3 linked regions of the Stegostoma tigrinum genome follow. The protein of the gene in region 3 purifies or fractionates together with the protein of the main gene of each other region. This does not show direct contact. Links are inferred from orthologs where the notes say so. Each region holds a gene or a part of one and is shown on either strand. Other genes may lie near its edges.

Region 1 (9,959 bases), on a different chromosome or scaffold from region 3:
GTTGACTTGGCAAACTAAGCAGACCTCCCACTGCTACAAATTGACACTCCGAATGGGATTTGCTTGTGGCCCTTCTCAGTCCGTCTCTGTCTGGGATGCAAAATCTTAAATCAGTAAAGATTTCAGTAATTATCTCACCAGGAGGTTTGCTAGGACACAATTTTATCTGTACAATTTCTTGCAAGGGCTGTTTTGACATAATGCTGAAAAAAAATTTCTGATCATAAAAAAGTCGCACCTACACAGAAGTGAAAACAAAAACATTTTACCTCCACTGTAGAATCTAAGTTCCAAATTAAATTCATACTACAAACCTTTACACCATGCTAATGGCTTACAGACAGGAAGTAAAGTATACAAGTTAGCTGACAACATGAAGCTAGTTGGAAATGAAAGCTGCAAAGAGATACAAAAAGTTGAATGAGTAAGTAACCAAGTGGCATACTGAGAGATACTACAGGTTACTCAATTTGGTTGCAAGAATACAGAAGTAGCATTATTTTTCAAAAGCATGAAATTGTAAATGTCAATGTTCAGAGGGATTTGTGCATACTCTTGTAAGCAATTTAGAAGTTAGCACACAGACACAGCAAGCAATCAGGATGACAAAGAACACATCAGCCTTCACTGCAAGGGGACTGGAATAAAGAAACATTTTTACAAACGCACAGTATTTCTGCCAGACTATGCTTGGAGTAGAGGTAGAGGACCTGGAGGTTTAGGGAAGGACTTTCAGAGCTCAAACACAGATACCAGTGGTGGAATGATGAAGTGATGAAAATCAGGACATAGCACATGGCTCTGAAAATGGTACTGCCATGGTTACATTACTAGGCAACTAATGCAGAGGTCCAGACTAACATTCCAAGGAAACAAACTGTGTAGCTGGATGAGCACAGATTGCCAAGCAGCATCCTAGGGGCACAAAAGCTGACGTTTCGGGTCTAGACTGCAGTTCCCATTATCTCTAACATTCTGAGGACATGAGTTCAAACTCCATCACAGTAGCTGGTGGAATTTGAAGTCGATCAATAAAGCCAAACAAAGTGAAATAATCACATATTAATCTTGTTTACTAATATTCTTTTAGGGAAAAATTTGTGACCTTATCTGGTCTGGCCTACGTGCCCCCAGACCTGCAGCAATATGGTTCACTGGTGAATCAGGGATGGGCAATAAACACTAGCCTAACCAACAAGATCCATATCCCATGGATGACTAAAAAAAGGCCATGCCCCAAACACCTCCATCACCATCCTAGAGTATTGTCAGACTCAAAGGCAACAGATACAGGGGCGAGTAGACCGGACAGTCCTTAGCATCAGCTCCAGACCCCGCAAAGTTACATGGTATTGTTGCTGACTATCCCCATTAGCTGATGAATCGTACCACACCAGTTCAACTGGAGGGTACACTGAAGATGGAGATGTACTCGAGATGTGGAATTCTAACACCTATCCTTAAAGGCTTTCAGTACCACTGCTAACCAAGCAGGTTGGGTCCTGAAGGCATACCTTTCAGACTGTGTCTACGGCAGATGGTGAGAGAAAGCCAACATGGCAGCAAAACCTGTCCGACCTCAGCTTCACTCAACACCATCCAGCACTTCCTCCGTTCACGTGCAGCAGTAGCTGTGTGACTTCAATCTACAAGGTGTACCTCATTAACTCACCAAAACTTTTTGGGTGTCTCCTTTACAGAGAGGGGGTGGTCACTGTGGTAGTGTTCTACCTCTGATTCGAGTAGGTTCAAGTACCACCTACTATAGAATTGTGTAATAACATCTCTGAACAGGTTAATTTAAAAGAGTCTCCAAATCCCAGAACTCCACCACTGAAAAGGACACCATCACCTGGAAATCCTCTCCAGGCCATCCCCATCCTGACTTGCAAATATACCATTCATTCACTGTTACAGTTAAAATCTTGAAATCCTCTATCAGCACAGTGCACACCACATGGACTGCAGCAGTTCAAACAGGCAACTAATAAATCAGCTTCTCAAAGGCAATTAGGGATGGGTAATAAAAACTTGACTAGATGATGCTCACAAACATAATTAAATTCTAGGGAAATGGAGAAGTCCTGAAAAGCAGCAGGGCTGGAGGTGGTTATAGATATCAGAGGGATGAGGCCATGGAAGGATTTAAAGGGGAGAGGAGAAAAAAAAATCAAACTACTGCTGGAAGCAGGAGCCAATTTAGGTGAGCAAGAATAAAGACGGGGCTGAACTGCCCACGAATCATACTAGAAACAGCAGAGTCTTCTTGAGGGTAGAAGGTGAAACTGCATTAAAACAGTCAGATCTAGAGGTCAAAAAGAGTCACAAACGAGGGGTGCAGCAGGAGACAAACTGTAGATGGGAAGAAGATAGGTTAAGCTACAGGATGGAAACAGGCAGCCTTCAGGTTAACAATAAGAGTCTTTGGCAAAACTAATGTCATATTTGATCCAACAGACTGGTTCAGTATCAGCATAGACCAGGAGTGAAACACAGTCATGATGTGTAAGTGGAATTTGCAGCAGGGACTAAAGGCAATGATTTCAAATCTTCATGTTGGTTAGCTGGAGATACTCATCATAAACGCTGAACTCAGCTTTTAGTGAGGACAGAAGGATTCCAGCTAACAACTAAAAAAGAACAACCACAAATGGGAAGAGCATATTTACAAACTGTCACTGGCAGCCGTATTCTAACTTGTATATCTCCCCAGAATTCTCATTCCGGAAGCAAAGCAGCTATGCGTAAGTTACCTGCTAATCTTACTTAAACTGACCAATATTTTCACAGGACAATGGTTTCAGGTGAATACAACAGCTCTACTCAAGGAGGTTACAATGAGGGAAAGAGGTCATTCAGCCCCTCATGTTGGTATTGTGTATAAACAAGTGTTCTGCATATATCTCAAAATTCAACTCTGCTCCAAAAAGGGGCTGTTGTAGCAGAGTGGAGTGGTAACATCCCTATTCCTGGGATAAGTGGCCTGTTCAAGTCTCACCTATTTCAGAAGTGTGTAATAACATTTTTCTAATCAGAGACAAGTTAAATTTAGAAAAAACTCTACTCCAAATTCCATTAACCACTGAGGTACTTTCTCTGGAATGCATCCAATGTCAGTATATCTTCCCTTAGATAAGGGGATCAAAACTCTTCACAGTTTTCAGCTGTGGTCTGATCAACACCTTGTCCAATTTCAGCAAGATGACACTAAGCTTATATTTTATTCCCTTTGCCTTCCCCATTACACACTGAACTTCAATGCTAGCTTTTTGTGATTCATGCACAAAAGAGCCCCCTACCCCTTGGAGTTGCAGCTTTCCACAGTCTTTCTCCATTAAAATAATATTCATCTCTTCTACTCTTCCCGCCAAAGTACATAACCTCACATTTTGCGATGTTATACCCATCTACTGAGTTTTTCCAGCCATTCATTTAACTGTCTATATCCCCCTAATCTCTCTCACACTCACTGCTTGCTTTTTCACCTGTTTTTAATGCTATCCACAAAGGTGGCTACAGTACATTCAGCTTCATTAATACAGACAGTAAATAACCGTAGCTCCAGAACTAATCCCTGCACACACTACTAGTTACAGGCAGTCATCCTGAAAACAAACCCTCTACTCAAACTCTAGCTATTAGCTAGCCAGTCCTCGACCCAAGAAAACATAACATACAAACATATCCATGCCCACACCATTAAGTAGTCTGTGTAGTTCTGGAATGAGCGCATTTTGGATGAGCAAATATCCAGTCTCTTGTTATATCAAAAAACTGAAATAAATCTGTGACATGAGGCCATGCTGACTCTGCCTGATCATATTAGCATGCTCCATATCCTTTATAACATACTCTGACGCCTTTGCAGCTACAGATTCACTACATGGGGCAGCTTGTTCCTGGACCTGAAATGATAACTCAGTACCTGGAGTGAGAAACAGTCAGAGCCGTTGAGCTTGTCTGGGAGTTTGTTTCTCTAAACCCGCCCTGTCAAGATCAGTCAGTATTTTACTATTTTTCAGTTTGCCTTTTGGCCTCTAAAGAAGCCTGGCCTAGTTAACTTTTCCTTACTATCAACACACACTTAATAGACCAATAAGCCGAAATACTGCGGCGCAGGAGGCCGTTCGGCCTATCCCCTTCATTCTTGACCCGGATACAAGGGGAAAACAGTCCAATCAGACCCCCCCCGCCATGTGTCTGTGAAACCGTGTCGGGAAACCTGCCTGACCCTCCCCCCCCCGGAAAGTGGGGGCCGGCTCGTCGGGAGGGTCCCCGCAGCTACAGCGCCTGATTGCTGGAGCTGACCTTTCCCATACCCCGAACCCCGTCAAGGCCCAGGCTGGTTAATCCACCCACCCCCAATCACCGGGATCCAAGCCTATCTCTGCTCAGGCCTCACTCACCGCCCACTGCCAGCTCGGATAGCCTTCCCTATAGTCAGTCACTTCATCCGCTCCGTCCCGGTTACACACTTCAAGTAGCCCCCGAGGCGGCTGAGGTTCGACCACACGCCTAGGCCAGGCACCGCCTACTTCTCCCACGTGACATCTACGGGACACGCCCACGCTGCGCGCACTGATTGGCCAGTCTTAACATCCGTCTGGAAAGGTGTTCGTCGATTGGATTATTTGACTGTCAGTCAAACTTGATTCGCAACAACATTGGCTAATAGACGCAAAGGCTCCCGAAAAGGCAGCGCCCTCACATTCCATTGGTCATTTTCTCGACCGGAAGCCCCGCCCACCCACAATCTTGACAATCCCATTGGTCGCCTTACATGTCATTCAGGACTGGGCAACGTGGGCCTTAGACGGAGTGTTCTGGGGCCATTCGCTCTAGCTGCAGGTCATGAAGGCGAAAGCCGCGAATTCTCGGGCCTTTGCCTTTCTTGCTTCTCCCGCCGGCAACAGTTTCGGGAGCTCGGTTACCATCTCGGTTCAGCCTGTTTCCCATACGCACATAAACCTGCGATCAACTGTCACTCCAGGCGGGGTCAGTAGTAAAACATAGCGGCGTCGGTCCCCACTTGACCCTCTTTCCCGGTCCGGTGTTCCCCGCAGTCCCTCACGTCAATCAGCCGCATCCGCCGTTCCGATTGGCTGTGCGACTTGGGCTCGCCCCTATGACGGTGCGTGATTGGTGTATTCAAACAATCCTGCCTGTTACAGCGCTGCTGCTGTTGTTACCCGCTGCGGCCCGCCTCTTAAAAGGGCAATTCCTCCAAATGGTCCATAGGAGGTGAGGAGGCCCTTCAGTCCTGCAGGTTCCTTTTGCGCCTCAACTGGATGGTCGCTGCGATAGTGGGAACTGCAGATGCTGGAGAATCTGAGATAACAAGGTGTGGGGCTGGATGAACACAGGCCAAGCAGCATCAGAGGAGCAGGAAGGTTGACATTTAAGGCCTACACCCTCTGATGAAGGATCAGCCAGAGGCCTCGGCAACTGTTTCTGGAGATGTCTGCCAAATCTCATCATAGTGGCTGGCGACATGTAAATTTGAACAATAAAATGTAGAATGTAAAACTAATCTCCATGATGATGACCATGAAATAGTTAATGGTTGTTGTATGCCCCCAGAAGAAACCCTAGAGGAAACAGGCCTGGCAGCCTCTGGAGAGTTTATTAGATTCAACATCAAATTTTTGTATAATCCCTGTGGGAACGTGCCATTTGGCCCAACGAGTCCAAACCAGCCCAGACGAGCATCCCAACCAGACTCTCCCTCTTACCCGAAATAATGGGAACTGCAGATGCTGGAGAATCCAAGATAACGAAGTGTGGAGCTGGATGAGCACAGCATCTCAGGAGCACAAAAGCGGTCTCGGCCCGAAATGTCAGCTTTTGTGCTCTGAGATGCTGCTTGGCCTGCTGTGTTCATCCAGCTTCATACTTTGTTATCTCCCTCTTACCTTATCCCTGTAACCCTGCACTTCCATTTCCCACAGCTACTCTGCCAAACCCACACATTCCTGGACGTTGTGGGCATTTTAACATGGCCAATGCACCTAATCTACTCATTTTTTTGGATTGTGGGTGGAAACCCATGCAGGCAATCAGCTGAGGCTGGAATTGAACCCAGGTCCCTAGTGCTTAAGGCAGTAGTGCTATACCACTGAGGCACTCACTGGGGACGCAATGGCCTAGTGGTATTATCACTGGACTGTTAATCCAGAGACCTGGATAACATTCTGGGATCTGAGTTCAAATCCCACCATGGCAGATGTTGGAACTCGAATTCAATAGAATATCTGGAATTATGAATCCATTGTTGATTGTCAGGAAAAACCTATCTGGCTCACTAATGCCCTTTAGGGAAGGACACTGCCATCCTTACCTGGTCTGGCCTACATGTGACTCCTGACCCTCGGCAATGTGGTTGACTCTTAACTGCCCTCAGGGTAATTAAGGATGGACAATAAATGCTGCCTGGCCAGTGATGTCCTTATCCTATGAAAGAATTTTTTAAAAAACTTGATTTAATTCTTTTTCCGTAGGACAGGGCAATAGCCTTATGATCCAGAGATCCCAGTAATATTCTGGGGATCCAGATTTGAACGGAATGTGTATGGCTGATGGTGGGACTTAACTTCAATAAAGTATTTGGAATAAAACTGGTGTGGATTTAGGAAATTCTGTCTGGTTCATCAATGTCCTTTAGAGAAGGGGACTGCCATTCTTTCCTGGTCTGAACTAGATGTGACTTACCAACCCACAGCAAGATGTTGACTCTTAACCGTCCTCTGAAATGGCTGAGCAGGCCACTGATCAGATTAGATTTTGTATGCTACAACATCTTGATTTTTAAACTTCTCAAGATTATTTCAAAATACCTCCGCGGACGCACACTTCCCTGTCTCTCTAATTTCTGACTGGCCCGCAACCCTCTGGCATATCCATGCCATCCCAATTCTGGCCTGTTGTGATATCCCCAATTTTCATCAATCCTGCCTGAGTGTTGCTGAACAAAGAGATCTTAGAATGCAAGTTTATAGTTCTTTGAAAGTGGAGACACAGGTAGATAGGATAGTGAAGAAGGTGTTTGGTATGCTTTCCTTTATTGATCAGTGTATTGAGTATAGGATTTGGGAGGTCATGTTGCTGAAGTATAGGACATTGGCTAGCCTGCCTTCGGAATACTGCATTCATTTCTGGTCTCCCTGCTTTAGGAAGGATGTTGTGAAACTTGAAAGGGTTCAGAAAAAGATTTATAAGGATGTTAGATAACAAGGTGCAGAGCTAATGAACACAGCAGGCAAGCAGCATCATAGGAGCAGGAAGGCTGACGTTTTGGGTATCGAAGGGTCTAGGCCCGGAACGTCAGCCTTCCTGCACCTCTGATGCTGCTTGGCCTGCTGTGTTCATTCAGCTCTACATCTTGTTATCTTGGCTACTTTTTCACACACAGAGGGTGGTGTGTGCATGGATTCAGCTGCCAGAGGAAGTGGTGGCGGCTGGTACAATTACAACATTCAAAAGGCATTTGGATGTGTATGTGAATAGAGGGATGTGGACCAAATGCTGGCAAATGGGACTAGGTCAGATGGGGGTGTCTGGTCAGCGTGAATGAGTTGGACCGAAGGGCCTGTTTCCATGCTGTACAGCTCTATGACTCCATTGGTGGCCTTCAGCAATGTGGGCTCTGCACTCTGGAATTCTCTCCTGAGTTTTCTCTGTCTCTCTTTCTCCATGCTCCAATAAAATTTTGTGCATCATCTTGTACTTATTTAGGCTTTGAAGCACGTGCAGAAGGACATACAGAAACATCAAGACCTGCCTCATTCAAAGAAAGAGAGCAAGTGATGCAGAGGGCCCAAACAGATGAAGACATCATTGCCAGTGCCTGTGGTCGAGTGCTTAAAATCAGGGACATTTAAGAAGCCAGAATTACACAAACAGATTTCAGAGAGTTGTGGGATTGAAGGAGATGACAGAGATAGGGAGGAGGCAAAGCCACGGAAAGAGTTAAACACCAGTTAAAGAACCCTGTAATCGAAGCAACCAACATGGATCAAGGAACACAGGAGCAGAGGGTGAATAGGGTTTGCCACAAGTTTCTACCTTTTTGTTATTGCAAATTACTGAGGATAGGAAGTGGGAATCCTGCAAGAGGAGCATTAGAGTAATCAGAGCTTGAGCATAAATGAAGGTTCCAGAAGCAGATGTGTGGAGATAGGGATGAATCCAGGCAATATTAGGGACCTGGGTGATGTGATAATTTGGTTGAAAAGTCATCATGGGATTGAATGCGAGACTAAGGTTTAAACTGGTACGTTTCAGTCTCAGTCCGGTGTAAGGGCCAGGAATGGATTTGGAAGCCAGTGACCAGAGTTTATAGTGGGGAGCAAAACCAATATTTTCACATTGTTCATTTGGAGAACCTCTATCACATGGTACTGAATTTTAGTCAAACTGTATGACAACTGAAGCTCATGCAAGGGTGGGTCTTTGGTCTTTCTCTTATCATTGAGTCAGAGTCAGAGTGCAAACAGCATGGAAAGAGGCCCTACAGCAGCTTCTCTTTCTTTTTCCTCTGGTCCCCTATGATACCATAAGATAAAGAAGTAGAATTAGGCCAATCAGTCCATCAGGTCTGCTCCATTGTTTTATCTTGGCTGTTAGGTTTCTCAGCTCCATTTTCCTGCCTTCTCCCTGCTGTGATCCCCTTACTTATCAAGAACCTATCTATCTCTGTCTTAAATGCACTAAATAACTTGTTCTCCACAGCCCTCTGTGGCAATGGGTTCCACAGATTCACCACCCTCTGGCTGAAGAAATTCCTCCTCATCTCAGTTCTAAAGGGTTGTTCCTTCACTCTGAGGCTGTGCCTTCAGGTCCCAATCTCTCCTACTGATGGAAACATCTCCACATCCACTCTATCCAGCCCTGTCGGTATTCTGTAAGTGAGTTTTGAGAAGATTTGTAGCTCAGGTTGAGGATCTGGATGTGAGTTTGCTCGCTGAGCTGGAAGGTTAGTTTTCAGACGTTTCGTCACCATTCTAGGTAACATCATCAGTGAGCCTTCGACGAAGCGCTGGTGTTATGTCCCGCTTTCTATTTATCTGGTTAGGTTTCCTTGGGTTGGTGATGTCATTTCCTGTTCTTTTTCTCAGGGGATGGTAGATTGGCTCCAAGTCAATGTGTTTGTTGATGGAGTTCCGGTTGGAATGCCATGCTTCTAGGAATTCTCGTGCATGTCTCTGTTTGGCTTGTCCTAGGATGGATGTGTTGTCCCAATCAAAGTGGTGTCCTTCCTTATCTGTATGTAAGGATACGAGTGATAGTGGGTCATGTCGTTTTGTGGCTAGTTGATGTTCATGTATCCTGGTGGCTAGCTTCCTGCCAGTTTGTACAATGGAGTGTTTGTCACAGTTCTTGCAAGGTATTTTGTAGATGACGTTCGTTTTATTTGTTGTCTGTATAGGGTCTTTTAAGTTCATTAGCTGCTGTTTTAGTGTGTTGGTGGGTTTGTGGGCTACCCTGATGCCAAGAGGTCCGAGTAGTCTGGCAGTCATTTTAGAAATGTCTTTGATGTAGGGGAGAGTGGTTATGGTTTCTGAGCCCGTTTTGTCTGTTTGTTTGGGTTTGTTGCTGAAGTTCTGTAAGTTTCAATCACATTACTCCATATCCTTCTAAACTCTGAGTACAAACCCAGAGTATTTAACTGCTCCTCATATGACAAGCCCTTCATCCCTGGGATCATTCTTGTAAACCTTCTCTGGACTCTCAGAGTGGCATGGTGGCTCACAGTGCCAGGGACATGGGTTCAATCCCAAGCATGGTCACTGTCTGTGTGGAGTTTGCATGTTGTCCCTGTGTCTGTGTGTGTTTCTACTGGGTGCTCCGGTTTCCTCCCATGGTCCAGGGATGTTTTTAGGCTAGGAGGATTAGCCATGATCATGGCCTGGTGTTACAGGGATAGGGTGGGATGCTCTTGGAGGGTCTATGCAAGCCAAATG
Region 2 (9,959 bases), on a different chromosome or scaffold from region 3:
AGAAATACTGCAGATGTTATTTTGCCTGTGAAACTTTGCAGGAGTTCAGTGGATAGTCCAGTATTCCTGTAAACACTTCAAAAGTAATAAAACAAAATTTAAACTTTTTACACTTAAGGTGAAAAGCAAACTTTACTGCCTCAGTGAGTACAGGAAACATTACACTTAGTGATTCAAAAGCTCCAAAATCAATTATTTATACACCATAATAAAACAAAGTTACCTTCAGCTAGGGTTATGGCCTCCATAACCTTAACAGGAAGAGAAGATCCAAAACTCCTGATTTCATAGTTGAGCGTCTCGCCAACTGTTTGATACTGTGCTCCTCTGGTTGGAGTTGGACTTGAGGAAGAAAAAATAATTCCAGTCAAAGTTCTCCATTACTATACTTGAAACAAATGCAGTCATACTTGGCCTAAGTATATTCTTACCGTTCAAATTTAGCAAATCAGTCAGAAACAATAGCAAATGTTCTACAAGAAAAAAATACTAATTTCACAGGGCCAAAGGAACACAGAGCTCAGAACGGCTAACTTTTTTTTCTAGTAAACTTCAGATGAGTCCAATAGTAAACAGCATCTGTGTAATCTCACTGTAATATAAACAGAGATTAGGGAATACCAGAGAGGTCAAACACAGAGATATCAAACTATTGAGTGAGAAAGGAAACTAAATTTCATTTGCGAAACTAAGATAACGTTATTCAAATTCTAAAGAAAAACCAAGTTTGCAATACTGGTGCCAGAATGATAGAATTCAACTTTGCCAGTACATTGAAACAAATTGTCATGTGAACAATACAAAGTATTTGAAAATGTATGAAGTCAACAAAAGTCCACATTCTGTGCTTGAAGCTGTTAATCTGCATGACACCTGAACATTTTTTTGAATAAACCAGTCACTTTACATCATAACTCTGTGGCTAACATATGCTGAGGAGGAAAACTGAATCCCTCTCCTGGTGGTAGTGGTATCTGAAAGGTATGATTCCATCAGTACAACTATGTCAGATTGTTGCTTATTTAATCTACAGAACAACTTTCCAAATTTTGATACATCTCTCCTGATGGTGGTAAGGAAGAATTTATGGATCAAAAGGGTTGTGTTTGCCATTGCTGTTTCTGGTGCCTAGGTCAACATCTTTCTGCGGTACCAAACTCCTGTCACTATGCAAGAGTAGTTTCTTCTCCCTTTGTGTTCTAACGGACTATTCACTACAAGGGATATTTAAACAGCCTAAAATAAACACTTGTAAACAAATAATCAATAACCCAGCACCTCTCTCAGAACTCAAAATCTAAACTGTAACTAAAACCATGTTTTCTCCGTTCCTGAAAGTACAAGTCAAACTTAAAGCTACATTTGGATCTGTTCACTTCAGAACCCAAGTTTCCAAAAATTGATCTAGCATAAACCCTCATCACAATAAACTGATCACTTACTCTTTGAAGGTAAAGAGGTTAGCTTTGAATTTAGCCACTAGCACAAACATTACCTAGTCCATTTACAACTAGATTAAGTAAGTGAATCACCTCTCATTTCACATCTTCCAAAGAATATGCATGATTTAAATAAATGTTGCACATTATCCAAACGCTCTATTTTCTCAGAGATAGTAAGAACTGCCAATGCTGGAGTCTGAGATAACACAGCGTGGAGCAAGAGGAATGCAGCAGGCCAGGCAACATCAGAGGAGCAGGAAAGCTGACATTTCTGGCTTGCTGTGCTCGTTCAGCTTCACACTGTGTAATCTCTATTTTCTCAACAGTTCCAAATGCTCCTTTGAATAGTTGCATTATCCTAAATGTGGATCATACCAATTTATTAAAGCCAGGATTACCTGTCTGTGTTACACTTTCCAATACTGAGTTCCATTCACCATACTTTCAAAAACTCCTACAGCACAACCTGACAAAACGATGCTGGCTTTCCTTGATTACTCCTTGCTTCTCCAAATGAAGATTAACTCTGTCCCACCACTGATGTTAGGCTCACTGACCTACAGTTCCCTGGTTTATCCCTACCACTCCACTGTACCACATTAGCTGTACTCCAGTCCTCTAGCACCATTCCCGTGGCCAGACAGGACTGAAAATTAAAGTCAGGACTTCAGCAATTTCCCCTTTGCCTCCCACAGCAGCCCAGGATACATCTCACGTGGGTCTGCCCTGTCTAAATCTTTCTTACTCTGTCTACACCATTTAGAACAAAGAACAAAGAAAATTACAACACAGGAACAGGCCCTTCGGCCCTCCAAACCTGCGCCGATCAAGATCCTCTGTCTAACCCGTCATCTATTTTCTAACGGTCTGTGTCCATTTGCTCCCTGCCCATCCATGTACCTGTCCAAGTATATCTTAAAAGACGCTAACGTGTCTGCGTCTACCACCTCCGCTGGCAACACGTTCCAGGCTCCCACCGCCCTCTGTGTAAAGAGCTTTCCACGCTTTTCGCCCTTAAACTTTCCTCCTCTCACTTTGAACTCATGACCCCTAGTAATTGAGTCCCCCACTCTGGGGGGGGGGGGGGGGGGGGGGGGAGAGGAAGCTTCTTGCTACCCACCCTGTCTATACCTCTCATAATTTTGTAGACCTCAATCAGGTCCCCCCTCAATCTCTGTCTTTCTCATGAAAATAATCCTAATCTACTCAACCTCTCTTCATAGCTAGCACCCTCCATACGAGGCAACATCCTGGTGAACCTCCTCTGGAACCTCTCCAAAGCATCCACATCCTTTTGGTAACGTGGCAACCAGAACTGTACGCAGTATTCCAAATGTGGCCGAACCAAAGTCCTATACAACTGCAACATGACCTGCCGACTCTTGTACTCAAATATTTAATATTGGAAAAGTTGAAATCCCAATGATCATCACCTCTATTATTTCTGCACATCTCTGAAATTACTTCTACCTTTGCCTAATTATTAAAGGGTCCTCTCGTACACTTCCATCAGGTGATTGAAGCTACCTTGCTGAATGTTTTTAAGGCAAGGCTAGCTAAATTTTTGGACAGTAAAGGAATTAAGGGTTATGGTGAGTGGGCAGGTAAGTGGAGCTGAGTCTCAAAAAGATCAGCCATGATCTTATTAAATGGCAGGGCAGGCTCGAGGGGCCAGATGGCCCACTCCTGCTCCTAGTTCTTATGATTGCTGCTGTTTTTTAATTCTACCCATAAGGCCTCAATTAAAGAACTAAGAAATCATCCTTCTGTAAAAGAACAAAAAACCTCAAAAAGTGACTCCTTGATCAATACTGCAACATTACCACCTTGCTTCTACCCACTCATCTTTTACCTGAAAATATTGTTGCAAGATTGCATCCTTCTTCCTACCCATGTCCCTGGCATCAATATGAACCACAACCTCAGAAGTAGAAAGAGCTGCCGATGCTGGAGTCAGAGATAACACACTGTGGAGATAGAGAAGGCCTGCTCCTCTGATGCTGCCTGACTTCCTGTGTTCCTGCAGCTCAGCATTAGTGTTATCTATGAACCATAACCTTATTGTACACCCCTAAAGGCCCTGAAGCTGTTCAGTGACATCCTTGACCCTGTCCTCAAGAAGCTGACACACTATCCTAGTGTCACAACCACAGAAATTGCTCTCTATTAAGTCTTCAACACTACTGCCCTTGCTTTCATAGTATCCCTAGCGTGAAAACTGGCCTTTTGGCCCAACAAGTCCATACTGACCCACCCCCCTAATCTCCACATCCCTGAACACTATGGGCAATATAGCATGGCCAATCCAACTAGCCTGCACATCTTTGGATTGTGGGAGGAAACCGGAGCACCCGGAGGTGCAGACACGGAGAGAACGTGCAAACTCCACACTGACAGCTGCCCGAAGGTGGAATCAAACCCAGGTCCCTGGCACTGTGATACAGCAGTGCTAACCACTGAGCCACCGTGCCGCCCCATTTCCTTCTGTTCTCCCAGCCCTGGACTTGTGCAGGGGTAGAGATAATGGGAACTGCAGATGCTGGAGATTCCAAGATAATAAAACGTGAGGCTGGATGAACACAGCAGGCCAAGCAGCATCTCAGTGCTCCTGAGATGCTGCTTGGCCTGCTGTGTTCATCCAGCCTCACATTTTATTATCTTGTGCAGGGGTAGCATCACTTTGATGCTTTTCTAGCACAAAATCTGCTGGCGTGTGAGATACGCCCTGGGGGTTTCCTCATTACAGGCCTGCCCCCGCGACTCCCCTTCGCCCATCCCCTGACTGCACTTCACTTTATGGTAGGAGGTGAATTTAAAAACATGTCCAGATGTGACCAGGTGATAGTCAAAGCTGGTGAGACCTGTGCTCATCAGGAGCATCGAGAGACTTCCCCATAACTCAGCCTGTACAACATTTCAGCACCGCGCTCCCCTGATTAAGGTGGTTAGTGTCGCACAGTGTTTTGTGGGATCCTGCCGTGCCAGGGACGTGACAGGCGCCAGGCAAATGCAGCCCTGACAACACTCACCGGCCGCACAGGCTGGAGCGCCAGGACGGAGAGAAAACGCCGCTGGCCGACACACTGCGCCGGCCCTGCACGGGAAAGCCGCCGCCGCTCCGGGTCAGCGGCGACCCAAAGCAACTTGAGGGGGGCCGCTTGGCACCACCAGGAGCCCGCGGGGAAAACATGCTGCAGACAGCGCGGGCCCCGCCGTTTAGGCCTCAGGCCTCCCGCACTCGCCGCCAAACCACTGCGCCTGCGTGACCCGCCAGGCACTGCAGAGTCTGATTGGTCACATTGGGGCATGGACGATATAAACACATTCCTGATTGGTGCTAACTTTAGAGATAATGGGAACTGCAGATGCTGGAGAATCCAAGATAATAAAATGTGAAGCTGGATGAACACAGCAGGCCAAGCAGCATCTCAGGAGCACAAAAGCTGACATTTCGGGCCTAGACCCTTCATCAGAGAGTTCATCCAGCCTCACATTTTATTATCTTGGTGCTAACTTTACACCCGTTGTAACGGAAGCTCCCATTGGTCAACAGCTGCCGGTGATGCTGTTTGACCTGCTGTGCCCCTTGTTATCCCAGAGAGAGAGAGAGAGAGAGCGGTCGGACCAAGGTGAAGACAGTCAGCCTAGGGGAATATATAGCTCTGTTGACTGCCATCAATGGCTAGTGTGTAATAGCAGACCATGGCATAACAAATAGGACCAAATTACTGCAGATCCTGGCACTTGAACTGTAAACAACAAATGCTGGAGATCACAGTGGGTCAGACAGCATCCATGGCGAGAAAACCGGACATTGGCCAATGTTGTCTCCTTGTTTAAGAAAGGAAGCAGGGATAATCCAGGAATTATTAGGCCCCTGAGCCTGATGTAAGTGGTAGGTAAGCTCTTGGAGAAGATATTAATGGACTTACTGAGTAATCAGCTGGAGGTTTCCTTGCCCATGTTTGACCTAAAGCCAGGACACCTCTTGGGGACCAGTCACTGTTATAGACAATAGGTGCAGGAGTAGACCATTCATTACGATCATTGCTGATCATCCACAATCAGTATCCTGTTCCTGCCTTATCCCCACAACCCTTGATTCCACTATCTTTAAGAGCTCTATCTATCTCTTTCTTGAAAGTATCCAGAGACTTGGCCTCCACTGCCTTCTGCGGCAGAGCATTCCATATATCCACCACTCTCTGGGTGAAGTTTTTCCTCAACTCTGTTCTAAATGGCCTACCTCTTATTTTTAAACTGTGTCTCTGGTTGAGGACTCCCAGGGCTACTCCCTCCCACCTGTATACCACTGTGCCCCCCACCTCTGCTGGGTCTACCCTGCCAATGAGACAGGACATATACAGGGATGGTGATGGTGGTATCCGGGATGTAGTCATACTCACAGAATCATATCTTACAGACAATGTCAAGCTGTTGCTTGACTAGTTTGTGAGACAGCTTTCCCAATTTTGGCACTAACCCCCAGATGTTAGTGAGGAGGACTTTACAGGGTCAACAGGGCTGTCTCTGGTGTTGTCTTTTCCGATGCCTAGATTGATGCTAGGTGATCTGTCTGGTTTTGTTTCTTTGAGACTTTGTAGTGAATGGTGCAACAGAATGGCTTGGTAAGCCATTTCAGAGGGCAACTGAGAGTCAACCACATTGCTGTAGGCCAGATCAGGAGGTGGCAGATTTTCTTTGCTAATGGACATAAGTAAACCAGACAGGTTTTTCCCCAACATTCGACAATGATTTCATGTCGATCAGTAGGTTTTTAAGTTCCAGGTTTTGTTTTCTTTACCTGTGACCGGCTTTCAAGTCAGGGTTTATGTGGCTTGTCCAGTTGAGGTTCTGATCAATGACCCCCAGGATGTTGATAGTGAGAGATTTAGTGATTGTAATACTGTTGGAATGTCAAGTGACGATGGTTAGATTGTCTCTTACTGGTGATGGTTATTGCCTGGCACAAAGGTTACTTGCCAGCTCTTGATGTGTTTGAACATGGACTGCTTCAGTATCTTAATACTACAAACATTAACAAACATCCCCACTTCTGACATTATGATGGAGAAGATTATTGAACCAGCTGAAGATGGGTGGATATAGTACACTACCCTGAGGACCCTCAAGCTGAGATGACTTAACTTCAACAACCACAACCACCTTTCTACATGCCCAGTATGACTCCAGTCAGTGGAAAGTTTGGCCCCAACATGCATTGATTCCAGTTTGCCTGGGGCTCCTAGTGGCTACAGCAGGGACCAGTGGCCCAGTGTGGAGTGTGGAAGCCCCCTGCACTGGAATGCTGTGGAGAGACTGTGATGTTTGTCTTTTTAACGGTGTTTCTTATTTTTCTGACCATGGTCGTACTATGTATAGCTGTAATGTAACATTTTTTCTTTCTTTTTCTACTCTATAACTAAGGATTGTATCTAAAGGTGGTGCTGTAAGTAGTGATTTATAAACTTTTTACTGTTCATTTTAAGTACATATGACAACAAGGCTAATTTAATTCTATTCAATTTAATTGATGCCACACTTGGTTGAATGTGGCCTTGATATCAAGGGCTGTCACTCTTATCACTCCTCTGGAATTCAGCTCTTTATAGCCTTTGATTCAAATATGGCCAAATGAGGTTACGAGCAGAATGGCTCTGGCAGAACTCAACTAAGTGGTCCTCAACAGATGCTGCTTGAAAGCACAATTGATGACACCTTTGATCATTTCACTGATGCAAGTAGACGAATAAGTTGGATTTGTCTTGCTTTGTGGGTACAGGACACAAGTAGGTAAGTTTCCACATGTTTGCAGCATTGCATATGACACTGTTATTTCTCCCTCCTTTCAATTTCTGATGTTGTTAATCTGTCTAGTACTTCTCCAACCTGATTCTTTCCTGCTTTTTCATCTTCTGTCGCTAACAATACATCGTCATGCTGCTTTTCCTAATTTCACTTCTTCATTTCAGCTGAAAGCTCTCAAGATGCTGGGCTCCAATTTTTCTGTAAATTCTTTGGTCCTTTGCTCAGTCGACCTGATTCCCATTCTCATTCACCAGAGCCATGTTTCAGAAGCTGCATCCCTGTTGTCTTCAGCATGGGAAACTATACTTCTGAAGTTTCACTGGACCTGAAATGTTCACTATGCTCTCTCACCACAGCTGGTGCCACATCTAAGTTTTCCAGCAAATTTCTTTTGTTATGAGAAGTAAACAAAGACTCAATTTAAAATAGGTCAGAAATTGATTGTTTTAATTTTACTGTAAAATTGATACTACAGATTCTCAAGGGTCAAACTTTTGTGAAGCAATTAAATTCATATTTATAACCACTCAGGATTGATTGTTCAATCACACTTCATCTATTAATCAAACATTTCACAAAATACAGTCTGTACAATGGTGAGTTTCACCAACTATTTCAAGTGTTTTACTTCATTATCGCAAAGGAATTTAGTATCCCTTGTACCATCTGCAGAAAGTTACAGAACAAATGTGAGACTACTCCGTCCTTAAAAGATGGTTCCCAAAATAGATTAAAAATGTTTTTAAAACTGTGGCAAAGAGAAGCTTTGGCAATTTAAAAATCTGCTTTTATCTTTCCCAGAGTCACTGTCAACCTTTCCTTGTATGAGACCTCACGCTGAAGACTTGTCCAACAAGGCCATGGAGAAACTGTATAGATTGTGACGCAGGCTTCCTCATTCTGTGGCTCACATTTGATATCTTTCACCATTTACTTCATTGCTACAGCTGAGATCCTGAACACTGTTCAGAATTACAAGTTTCATAACCTATTTAATAATCAGTGCTGCGATTAGTCAGAATCCAAGGCATTTCTCGGCTGTTTTGACCTGGAGGTATTTTTTTTCCTAAGAGGAGTAACATTTGGGAGCATTATACTTTCAACACAAGTTTTTGGTGGTTTTGTGAAATAGTTTGTTTCTCCACAAGCTTGCGAAATAATCCATCTGAATTTGAGAGGAGTTGCTGGTGGGTACCACACTCAACTATCCTGCCCTGGTCAAGGACTGCAACAGCATCAGCATTCTGGATGGTTGATAGACGATGGGCAATGATCAGCACAGTCCTTCCTACCATCAATCGGTCCAAAGCTTCCTGCACCAAATACTCATTCTCCGAATCCAGTGCACTTTAGAGAGAAGAAATGTAACAGCAAAATGAATAAGACAAAACAAAAATCAAATTAATCAAAATAAAATCAGAAAATGCTGGAAAAATACGGGTCTGCAGCATCTATGGACAAATTAACAGAGCTGAAATTGCATAACTTCTGAATTGAGAGGAGTGGAAAATTTTGTTTTTTTTTTAAATGCATCTGACAGAGGGGGTAATAGTGTGAATGGAACAGATGATGATGGTGCCTAGACCAATAGACAGAAATTAGGTGGTAAAGTAGCAAGCTTTAGAACAGCTGGAAATGACAGATGCAGTAAGGAGAACATGGGTCCACACTGTTGAGAGTGAAGCAAATTAGCCACAAATAGGGCACAGTCACAGTCAAAAAATAACAGAAGCCATCCTCTGATGTTCTTAAACACAATGTTGAGTTTTAAAGGTTGTTAGGTGCTAAGCAGAAAATGAGGTGTTGTCCCTCCAGTTTGCATGGAGCTTTGTTAAAACATGGTAGAAGGACCAGGACAGAAAAGGGAACACGCCAATATAAAGACCATCGCATTGTGAGCAATGAATGCAGTGGACTAGATTGAAAGTAGTATAATGTTGCTTCATCCGGAGGGTGTGTTTGGAGCTGTGGAAAGTGAGGAGACAGGTAATGAGAGGACAAGAGTTACACCTTCCACGATGGGAACAGTGATGATTAATGAGGGTGGAGGAGCTCCTGCAGACTACGAACATTATACTTTTACACAGAATCATCTGACTGTTATGGTCCAAATGAAATTTAAATTCACTCGAGATCAAGATCAAAGTAAATTTAACTTCGAATAAACTGCTGTCAAGTTACTGAAACCATACAGTTTCCAAAAATATATTCTTTCTGATAGGGTGCATAGGATATATTAACACTGATTTAACTGCTTACTTCATTCCCCAAATCCTGAAATTTAGGCCCATTTTAATAAGCCACACATTTATTTAAATAATTAGTTGAACCAGAGTGAACCTGGGGGTAGGACGGTGGCAGTGGAGTTTCCTGATAAAAGCTTGAAGGGCAGGGCACAGATCAAACTCAATCAGAGCAGCAGCAGCTCAGGAATGGAATGAACCTACACAGAATCCAGGGGCAGAGCTGCTGAGGTGATACAGGGTGAAAACCCTGGCTGCTTGGGGACCAGCTGCAGGGACTGAGTAGATAGTACAGAGAGTGAGACCGCGTGTTAGGAGTCCTTATTTTTGTGGTCTGCAGTTTGTTCGGAATAGAGCAAGACAGATAAAGAGAAATCAGATTTTCAGCGTAGTGGATACGGTTGATTACTTTGTTCCTAGTTTATTGTTTGTTGCTGGTAAGGTTCACAATGGCAAGAGACCTTGG
Region 3 (9,959 bases):
GTTCTACTGTTCAACATTAAAAACTTGTCTCAATTATACATTTTTTAAAAAGGCCACCACAAAGCCTTAAGTCTGCCTGAAGACATTATTCCTGCCTTCTAAATATATCACTCTCTCAACTATTTGAAATAACCTGCCATCAAGCCTATCCATTCTCTCAATTTTAAATATTTCCATATGACAATTGCTCCCAAAAAAACATAATTCAAGTTTTCCTCAAAGCAAGCAACATGCTATTACCTCAGTATCCGTTCATCTTCATGTAAAAAGATTCCCCAAAGCTATTATAGATTCTTATGACAACTGAAATAAGAAAATACTTGTGAATGCCTCATGCTCTAAATGCATTTTTCAAAATAACGTGGCACTGACAGGAAAATGTTGTTACATTTGAAATTTACAAAAAATGTTTTCATAATAAACACAAATAAGAGGACTCTTGGGGCACAGTGATAATGGGTTTATTTCTGGGCCAGAACGTTTTGTTTCAAGCCCCACCTGCTCCAGATGTGTACAACGTAGCATGTTTGAACAGGTTGATAAAATAAACTAAAAATGTGGAATAAGGAAGTTCTGAGGAAGGGTCACCAGACCTGAAACGTTAACTGTTTTTCCCTCCACAGATGCTGCCAGACCTGCTGAGCTTTTTCAACAGGTTTGTTTTTGTTCCTGATTTACAGCATCTGCAGTTATTCCACATTTTAAAAACCAAAAGAACTTGTAACAGAAAGCATAGGGTTCAACATAAAACCGAACTGCTGCATAGTCCAAGTTCTGGCAAAATTCCCTGGTACTATACCAGTTAGAAAATGTAGGTAAACTAACACCAATTTCATTATTATCTTTGGTAAGTGAAAGAGCAGAACTAACCAATTACAGTAATTAACATGCAAGATATGGACAAGAGGAGGGCATCGATTGCTACAGCTCCTCACACAAACTAAGGATATCCTAAATTACTGTGAAGCTAATCAAGTACTTTTGAAGCGCAGATACTACTGCAATGCTGGGAATTTAGCACCAACTTACGCAATGGAATCCCATGTACAGAAATGTGAAAATTGAGCAGGTCATCCATTTCTGGCATTCGTTAAGGATTAAGCTCTGCCCAATAACTACAATGCAGTGCTTGTCCATTTATATCATGTCATGAGCTGCACAGAGACAAAAAAAAATTCAATTCAAACTTTACCAGCTTCCATTAGGTTTTGCCAGCTTACAAGGTGGAGACATTTAAACCATTGCTCTGAGTGACAAAACAAATGTTACAAAGCTGAGGCACTGAGTCAGTAGGCTCCATTATCCATTTTTGCAGCTGGAGCACAAGTCAACACCTTAACAGCAACAGTTTTAAACAACCTCAGGATATGCTGACATTTACATCTAATAAATACAGTAATTCCTTGTTTAATGTTGCCCCATTTTTCAATGCTGAACCAAAATAAAGCTAGGTTAATGGAGGCAACAAGTTTACTGAGTATCATGATATTCGAGGTCACAGTGAATTGAGACACCAATTGGCTCCAAAATGGAGTAGCTTCTTAGGCACAAACTCTGCAACTCGTGGTCTGTACCCCCTCCCCAAACCTGTGACATGGGGTCAATCTCTACGTCCGATCCTTCAACAAAAGGATGCTCTCTCCTCAAGCCACTGACGTGCAGCCTCTCTCCTTGCACAACCCTGGATTTGTGGCTTTTCTCCTTCCTGACCCCACCTCTCACTGCTTCTGTCTCCTGAATGTAATTTTTTATTCAAAAACTAGATTCAATTCAGGGCAAAAGCAAAATTGCAGGCCACAGTGGTACAGATGTGCCAAGTTGGAGCGAGTATAATCCATGTTTTATTTTAACTGATCTTCCAATCTCTTGTAAGAGCCACTCATCTCTAGAAGCCACAGGCACAGAAAGTGTTCAGGAATGGGAAGAGACATGCTGGAGCATTAAGGAAAAAAAAACTCCATTGTCAGGTAGAACTCAAAAAGGAATTTACACAGATAACAAGGTGTAGAGCTGGATGAACACAGCAGGCCAAGCAACAGAGCAGGAAGGTTGACGTTTCGGGCCTCGACCCTTCAGGTCTACTTGTGTTCATCCAGCTCCGCACCTTGTTACCTCAGATTCTCCAGCATCTGCAATTCCTACTGTCTCTGAAGAAACTTAGACACGATGGGGAGCATTAGAGGCTCAGGTAAGTGAAGAAACAGCACTGACCAAGAGGTTTGAGCAGCATGATTAGCAGCGAGCAGGAGGTATGATAAGAAAAAAGTTTGAAAAATATGAGAAGTTATTTCATTTACAAATGCACAAGTCTAGCAATGTAAAGTATTTCAACCTGCAGAGTATAATGTTAATGTTTTTTCCTGAAGACTTTATAGAATCCAACTCAATATTACACCTAAAGCCACACAATTAATTTTAAACAAGAACTTACTGTCTTTTGAAGTTATCTCTCTCCATTTTAATGCAGAATTTACTCCATGCAGTTTCTAATTGAATGTGCTGAACAATTCAGACCAGCAGCACCAAAGACATTTTTCCATCCCCATTATTGTCTGCTTTCCGGAGGGACCACTGTCTCCGTGACTCCCTTGTCCACTCCACACTCCCCACCAACCTCACCACACCCAGCACTTTCCCCTGCAACCGCAGAAGTGCTACACTTGCCCCTGCCCCTACACCTCCTCCCTCAGCCCCATCCCAGGCCCCAAGATGACTTTCCACATCAAGCAGACATGCACCTGTATCCGCTGTACTTGTTGTGGCTTCCTTTACATCGGTGAAACCAAGCGGAGGCTTAGGGACCGCTTTGCAGAGCACCTATGCTCGGTTCGCAATAAACAACTGCATCTCCCAGTCGCGGACCGTTTCAACTCCCCCTCCCATTCCACAGACGACATGCGCCTCCTGCAGTGCCACAACGATGCCACCTGAAGGTTGCAGGAACAGCAACTCATATTCCGCTTGGGAACCCTGCAGCCCAACGGTATCAATGTGGACTTCACAAGCTTCAAAATCTCCCCTTCTCCCACTGCATCCCAATACTAGCCTAGTTCGTCCTCGCCTCTCCTCTCACTTGTCCCCACTTCCCACCTCAAGCCACACCTCCATTCCCTACCTACTAACCTCATCCCGCCCCTTGATCTGTCCACCCTCCCCAGACTGACCTATCCCCTCCCTACCTCCCACCTGTACTCACCTCTACAGGCTCCATCCCCACCCCTTTAACTTGTCTGTCTCCTCTCCAACCATCTTCTCCTCTGTCCACCTCCCCCTCTCCCCATTTATTTCAGAATCCTCTCCCCCCTCCCCTGATGGGTCTACACCCGAAAGTCAAAAGCTTTTATGCTCCTTAGCCTGCTGCGTTCATCCAGTTTCACACTTTGTTATCTCGGATTTCCGGCTTCTGCAGTTCCCATTATCTCTACCACAGAGCAGCAACTGTAGTGTACAAACTCTCTCAGTCCGCCAACTTAAACTCCAGGTTTTCAACATCTCATCCTCATTTTCTTCCATTGCTTTGAAATGCTAGGCAAACATGCTCCAGATGTTTGGACACTTTTGTTCTACCCTAGTCTATGATGAGACAATGAAAACTGGAAATGAATCCTAATTTCGCTTTTGTCATCTGACAAGTTTCTGTACATTACAGGTACCATTCTACCGTAAAGCCCTCTGAACTGTCAAATCACAATCTTGTTGCAGGAAATGTCATTGTGCTGCTAACTTGTACTGAAGTCATAAATATTGCTGCATAAACTCAGTACCGAAAGAATAGTTTTAGAAGTTTGAAGTGTCATTTGCTTTTTACCATGATTTTTTTTACAAGAAGTTTACAAAATATCTTTTAATATGATTGTTCAGTATCTATGTTAATCCTGCATGTATCTTCTAATCTTATTTAATTTATGGCAAAACTGTTGTTATAAAGCAAACCACCATTTTGTTTTTGGCTTTGATTTGATATTTTTTCCCCAATCCGATTGGCTACTCAGCTTGCTGTTCTTGGACTTTGGCTGGACGTTGTAAAAAGGGAAGTCGGCAGCTCAGAACTCACTGGCTCATTGAGGGTCACTTTCCTTGAGATCAGTCGTACACATCATGCTTTCGCTTGGTGCCTTGCTCTGTAATGCTGTAAGGCTTACACCATCGTGTAGCACACAGATCAATGCAAGCACGTTTCAAAGCAACACCATGTAACATAGTAAAGCATTCACATTATCATGCAACATCACATGACAGAGGCATACAATATAGTACTACATCATGACAGTAAAGCAAGAAATACATTACCATGTACTGCCAAAAGTATCACGTAACTCTACAACATCAAAACATGGTAATATGCACAATACGAGATACAGCGCAATAACAGCTCTTTACAATGTTAACTATAAATATAATACTTGCTGCACTATAATGTCATAATGAATCACATAAATTTAATATTCTAGTACAGAATCTATTATAAAACATTACAATGCCAGATATTTACAATGTGATGCACACTAACATTGGAAATAAACACTACCCGTTGGTTTCTCACCTGGATCAAAGGGGCAGGGCGCTGACCCAACAACCCCTGCAACTGTCCAACAAAAGCCTTCCTCCGACCAGCCCGCTTTAAGTACAGAGAACCTCCTTACCTTTGTCGTCCTCGTCGATTTTGAGAGCAGTGGAGATGTAGTCGAATGCGAGTTTGTGGGACTGGCGGATCTGCTCGGGTTCGGCCGTGGTGACGGCCGGGGCTGCCTTGCGCGATGCCATCGCGGCCAGGCGCTGGCAGACGTAGGCGAAAAAGAGCCAAAGGTGGAAGGCCAAGAAGCGCAGGAAGCTGAAAACGGCGACCAGAGGATACGCAAAGTAGTAAAGGTTCCGCTTGTGGAGGGAGAGTCTGTCGCTGGTGCCGTCGGGCGATACTCGCGCCGGACCCTTTTTCTTTCTGCCTCGGCCACCCGGAGAATTCATCCACCCGCCCTCTGTCCGCCATCACCCACGGGCATAGCGCAGGCGTCCCGACCACTCCGCATTGTCCAGGCACCCTCCAATCAGCTGCGCTAACAGCCGGGCCTCCATCCAATCAGAAGGTGGGTATTTCACTAGTTATCCAATAGAATCACGAAGTTCCGAGATTTCTCTGTGCGGTAACGAACCAATCAGAGTCCAGGGCTGCAGCCTCCCAGTCAATCAAAACAAACCATTGGTGGGTAAGGCAGCTCTGTGCAGAAACAGATGGGACGGGCGTCCAGACCAAACATCCTCCCTTCTTCAGCAGTGAAGATGATAACAGATTATCAGCCAATCAAAAAACCAGTTTGGAGAGAAAATGGGACGAACGACGCAGGAAAACAAACAATGAACTCGGTAAAGAGCAACTGAAGATCAGGTAGCAACTGAATTGTAAGCATGAAGCAGAATGAAGAGAAAGAAATACGAAACACTGAGTGTGTGAATAGATGAGTAGGGTTAAGTAAAAGGAAAAAAAGACGTGCATTTATATTTCTTAGTGGTGCTAAATACAGTGCACAGAAATTAATACTGTGTATTGAAGAAATATTCTACAAATTCAGCACTGTGCTACGGCAGTAGGTGTCTTCCTCTGGGCCAGAATGCCCATACTCGAGATCCACCTGCTCCAGAGATATGTCATATAATTAGCTAAACATCTAAAAGTAGGATTCTCAAGGATTCACTGTTCATTTTCTGAACTGGGCCTTGCACTATTTTTCCTGCCTATTGCTCAAATAAATCAGGGATCAATCAACCAACCCACAAGCGCATTAATAGATTCAATGTACAAGCTCTGTCATTAAGGGACGGACTGAAGCTAAGAACGAGCGTATAACAAATAAAAGCAAAATACTGAGGATGCTGGAAATTTGAAACAAACAGAAAAAATGCTGGATTAACTCAGCAGGTTCGGCAGCATCTATGCAGAGAGAAATAGAGCCAATGCTTTGAGTCCAGTATTTAACAAAAGGTTAGCAAGTCAATATCCCATGCAAAACATAATATAAAGTATTTCCAAACAGTTTTGTCATTGATATATTAAAACATGAAAGATCTTTCTCCTTGAGTTATTTACAAACAAGTCTGTTCATTTCATACATGGAAAAGCAATGCATGGAGCTTAGTTTCTATGCTGGCTTCAGACTGCTGTTTGTGCCCACAAATTGAAAATGAAGACCAGAATTTCCCAAACTATTTTTCAAAACAATTCCCTTTTTTGAAAATTAATATTACCACAAACATCAGCAAAGGAAGTGGCATAATAATATTCAGTATATAATCATGAAAATTTGAGTATTACCCCAGTTACCATTTGATTAAAAATATCTATGCCTTAAAATACTTTCTAAATTGATATCACATATACTTAGGGAGGGGGCAGACAAGCTTTCCATTTGGCCCAATGACAGAACACTCAGCAAAACGCCAAACAGTTCCCCCACCCTAAGACATAGTAATCAGGGCCTCTCCTCACCCCTCACATTCCTGTCTCTATCCTGGCACACTGTAACCAGCTGCACTTAACAATCTATGTACTGTAATCAGCCCCTCTTCTTTGGCCCCCACACTGTGAACAGCCCTCTTCCCCAGCCCACACATTGCAATCAGCCCCTCTATCCTCCCCGACAAACTATAACCAGTGTTACTTCCTGCCCCTCCACAATACCAGACCAACTTTCCCCACCCACTCCGTCCCTCACAGTCCACCCTTCTGGCCAGATTGCCAGTATGTGCAAAGCAGTATCATTATTGCAGGGTAAAGATCTTATACATCAAGCTGAAAGTAACAGACATACAGTAAAGCCTGAAGCCTTCCTAGTTCAGCTGTATGACCTAGATTTTCTAACACTCACACAATCACTGTTGACCTCGCCTAGACTGACACAGTGCGCAAATATCCGGAACCAACATGGCACTCACTGGGGGTTGCAAACCAAATTTTGGAAATTGTTGCTGCAGACTCATAATAACTATGTTGTCAGTCAAGGACTATCATGAATATTTGATCAAGCTGCTGTTCCTGGGTTTGACACTCAGCTATCATGCAAAATAATTCTTGGGTTTGCTGGGTTCCTTTCTCTCTGCTAATGTTTCCAAGTTTGGTGCAACGCATGTGTCGTTAAGCTCAAATTTAATCATTTGCATCTTTAAAACAATTAACAGTTTAAACTCCCTTTTCTTTCAAATACCAAATGCATATGACCATATTACCATAGCTGCATGTATGGTGGCCAGTATTTAGAAAATCAAATGAAAAACAATCTAAATTACTTTTGTAACATTAAATTCAGCCATTTTCTGATTCAACACACTAATTAGATTTACAACTTTCCAGTTACACCATCACACTGATCAGAGTTGATATTGCACAGCTATATTACTCTACCCGTTCATGCAATGTCCAAAAGTTGGTAATCACGACTCAGAGACTGAGATAGTAGAAAATGCAGGCCTTACTTAGTAGGGGGACTGAACCCACACAGCTGCTATTATTAAACATCATGCTCTAATTAACTGAACTAACTGGCCCTACCTGACCATTAAGCTAAGCATAGTAATTGTTTCACACATATCCAGAATTATCATTCTCTGTTTGCACTAACACATCATCAAATGATTAGACCCAGTGGAAGGACTTTAATCTTCAAAAATGCTTTGGAAGTGTTGAGTCTATAGCAGATGCCTGAAAAGCCAAGTAATGTTTCTGCTTGTCCTCATCTGAGTTCCTTATTACTCTCTAGAGTAAAGTAAACATCAACTAATGTTATAATGCAAGGAACAATTCTGATACGTGCACAATAGGCCAAATGGCCTTGTTCCATGCTATTCTTCCTTAGGAAAGAACATTGGAATAGAAGTAAATGACTCAAGCTCAGTTTGCCATTCAATTAGATCATACTCTGTCCTTAACTGGTAGTGTAACCCTTGGATTATCTTGAATATCAATATTAATATATCTATACATATCATATATACATCACTGGATATCTATATATGAATTACAAAAATCCTTGGATTACAAAATCTACCAATTTCAGTTTTGAAGTTTGAGTTTAATTCAATCAAATTGACATAATGGTTGCTTATTGTTTTATCTAGTGTTTATTCTGAAAAATCACACACTCTAAATAAACAGCGGTATATCTAACATTCAGTCCTATCTGAATTTCCTGATAGATGTTTAATTCCAGTTGAATTAGTCTGTGGCATATCAGCAAACAGATACTGAATTATTTGAGAAGAAAATATGTGACTTTCATTCATATGGTAGCTTTTCATGCAGCCAGTTGTTCCAAAATGCTTTATAGTCCATGAGTCAGAGTCATACAGCATGAAAACAGACCCTTCGGTCCAACTTTTCCATGCCAACCAAATTTCCCAAACAAAACTAATCTCATTTATCTGCATTTGGCCCGTATTCCTCTTAACCGTTCCAACTCATGTACGTATCCAAATGTCTTTTGAATGTTGTAACTGCACCTGCATCTACCATTTCCTCTGGAAGTTCATTCCCCATACAAACCACCCACTGGGTGAAAAAACTGCCCTTAAGATTCCTTTCAAATGTTTCTCCCCTCATCTTAAAATTATGCCGTCTTGTTTTGAGCTCCCTAAACATAGGCAAACAACCTTTGCTATCCAATTTATCTATATACCTCATGATTTTATAAAGCTGCTAGCCTGGTTTCCTCCACGTTCCAACTTTTCCTTCTAATTTTCAAACTTGCATTTTGATCTTTGAAATATTTGAGCCCAGGCTGATTTGGAGTTCAGAACTGAGATGCCCTCGTGCAACCAAAATTGAGCACAATGAGCAGGTTATTCATTTGCAAATTTTGCTTCATAATATTAGAACATAGAACATAGAACAGTACAGCACAGAACAGGCCCTTCAGCCCACAATGTTGTGCCGACCATTGATCCTCATGTATGCACCCTCAAATTTCTGAGACCATATGCATGTCCAGCAGTCTCTTAAATGACCCCAATGACCTTGCTTCCACAACTGCTGCTGGCAACACATTCCATGCTCTCACAACTCTCTGTGTAAAGAACCCGCCTCTGACATCGCCTCTATACTTTCCTCCAACCAGCTTAAAACTATGACCCCTCGTGTTAGCCATTTCTGCCCTGGGAAATAGTCTCTGGCTATCAACTCTATCTATGCCTCTCATTATCTTGTATACCTCAATTAGGTCCCCTCTCCTCCTCCTTTTCTCCAATGAAAAGAGACCGAGCTCAGTCAACCTCTCTTCATAAGATAAGCCCTCCAGTCCAGGCAGCATCCTGGTAAACCTCCTCTGAACCCTCTCCAAAGCATCCACATCTTTCCTATAATACGGCGACCAGAACTGGACGCAGTATTCCAAGTGCAGTCTAACCAAAGTTTTATAGAACTGCAACAAGATCTCACGACTCTTAAACTCAATCCCCCTGTTAATGAAAGCCAAAATATTGATAAGGATTGAGGGAATAGACCAATGGAGAGGTAACTGACTGGATATGTTCTTAGTACAATTTTCCACATTGTTGGAAAGATGTTTTTGTTGTAGCTTACTGGAACAGTTTGGTTAGGGGTGAGGCAAATTGTGGAGCACGTCTTCTGTACTTTTGCCGAAGATTGTCGGGACCCATAGCCTTTGCAGTATCCAGTGCCTCCAACTATTCTTGATATCAAATGGAGTGAAGCAAGTTGGCTAAAGAGTGGCATCTGTGATGCTGGGAACCACAGGAAGAAGGTGAGATGGATCATCCACTTGGCATTTCTAGCAGATGATTGTTGCAAGTGCTTCAGGCTTGTGTTTTGCACTGAAGTGTTGGACTCTTCTGTCATTGAGAATGGGGAATATCAATGGAGCATACTCCTTCAGTAACTTGGTTAATTGTCCGTCACCATTCACAACTGATTTGACAGGGCTGAAGAGCTTAGATCTGAATCATTGGTTGTGGGA

The links.
Region 1: the proteins of spast (region 3) and nup98 purify together in Homo sapiens (affinity purification with mass spectrometry; 3 studies listed by BioGRID and IntAct, counting the BioPlex papers as one, with this or other methods). This does not show direct contact. The link is inferred for Stegostoma tigrinum from reciprocal best matches to the Homo sapiens genes SPAST and NUP98.
Region 2: the proteins of spast (region 3) and nup133 purify together in Homo sapiens (affinity purification with mass spectrometry; 3 studies listed by BioGRID and IntAct, counting the BioPlex papers as one, with this or other methods). This does not show direct contact. The link is inferred for Stegostoma tigrinum from reciprocal best matches to the Homo sapiens genes SPAST and NUP133.

What each region holds. Positions count from the first base shown.
Region 1 is NC_081359.1:111,732,700-111,742,658, forward strand, and holds the start of nup98 (nuclear pore complex protein Nup98-Nup96), read right to left. Parts: upstream 5,035-9,959; 5' UTR 4,781-5,034; intron 4,682-4,780; exon of another isoform or gene 4,407-4,681; intron 1-4,406. UniProt on the Homo sapiens protein: Plays a role in the nuclear pore complex (NPC) assembly and/or maintenance. NUP98 and NUP96 are involved in the bidirectional transport across the NPC. May anchor NUP153 and TPR to the NPC.
Region 2 is NC_081362.1:765,947-775,905, forward strand, and holds the start of nup133 (nuclear pore complex protein Nup133), read right to left. Parts: upstream 4,690-9,959; 5' UTR 4,633-4,689; coding exon 4,472-4,632; intron 343-4,471; coding exon 224-342; intron 1-223. Other genes in the region: abcb10 (ATP-binding cassette sub-family B member 10, mitochondrial), read right to left, coding at 8,342-8,597. UniProt on the Homo sapiens protein: Involved in poly(A)+ RNA transport. Involved in nephrogenesis.
Region 3 is NC_081357.1:94,594,197-94,604,155, reverse strand, and holds the start of spast (spastin), read right to left. Parts: upstream 5,014-9,959; 5' UTR 4,966-5,013; coding exon 4,644-4,965; intron 1-4,643. UniProt on the Homo sapiens protein: ATP-dependent microtubule severing protein that specifically recognizes and cuts microtubules that are polyglutamylated.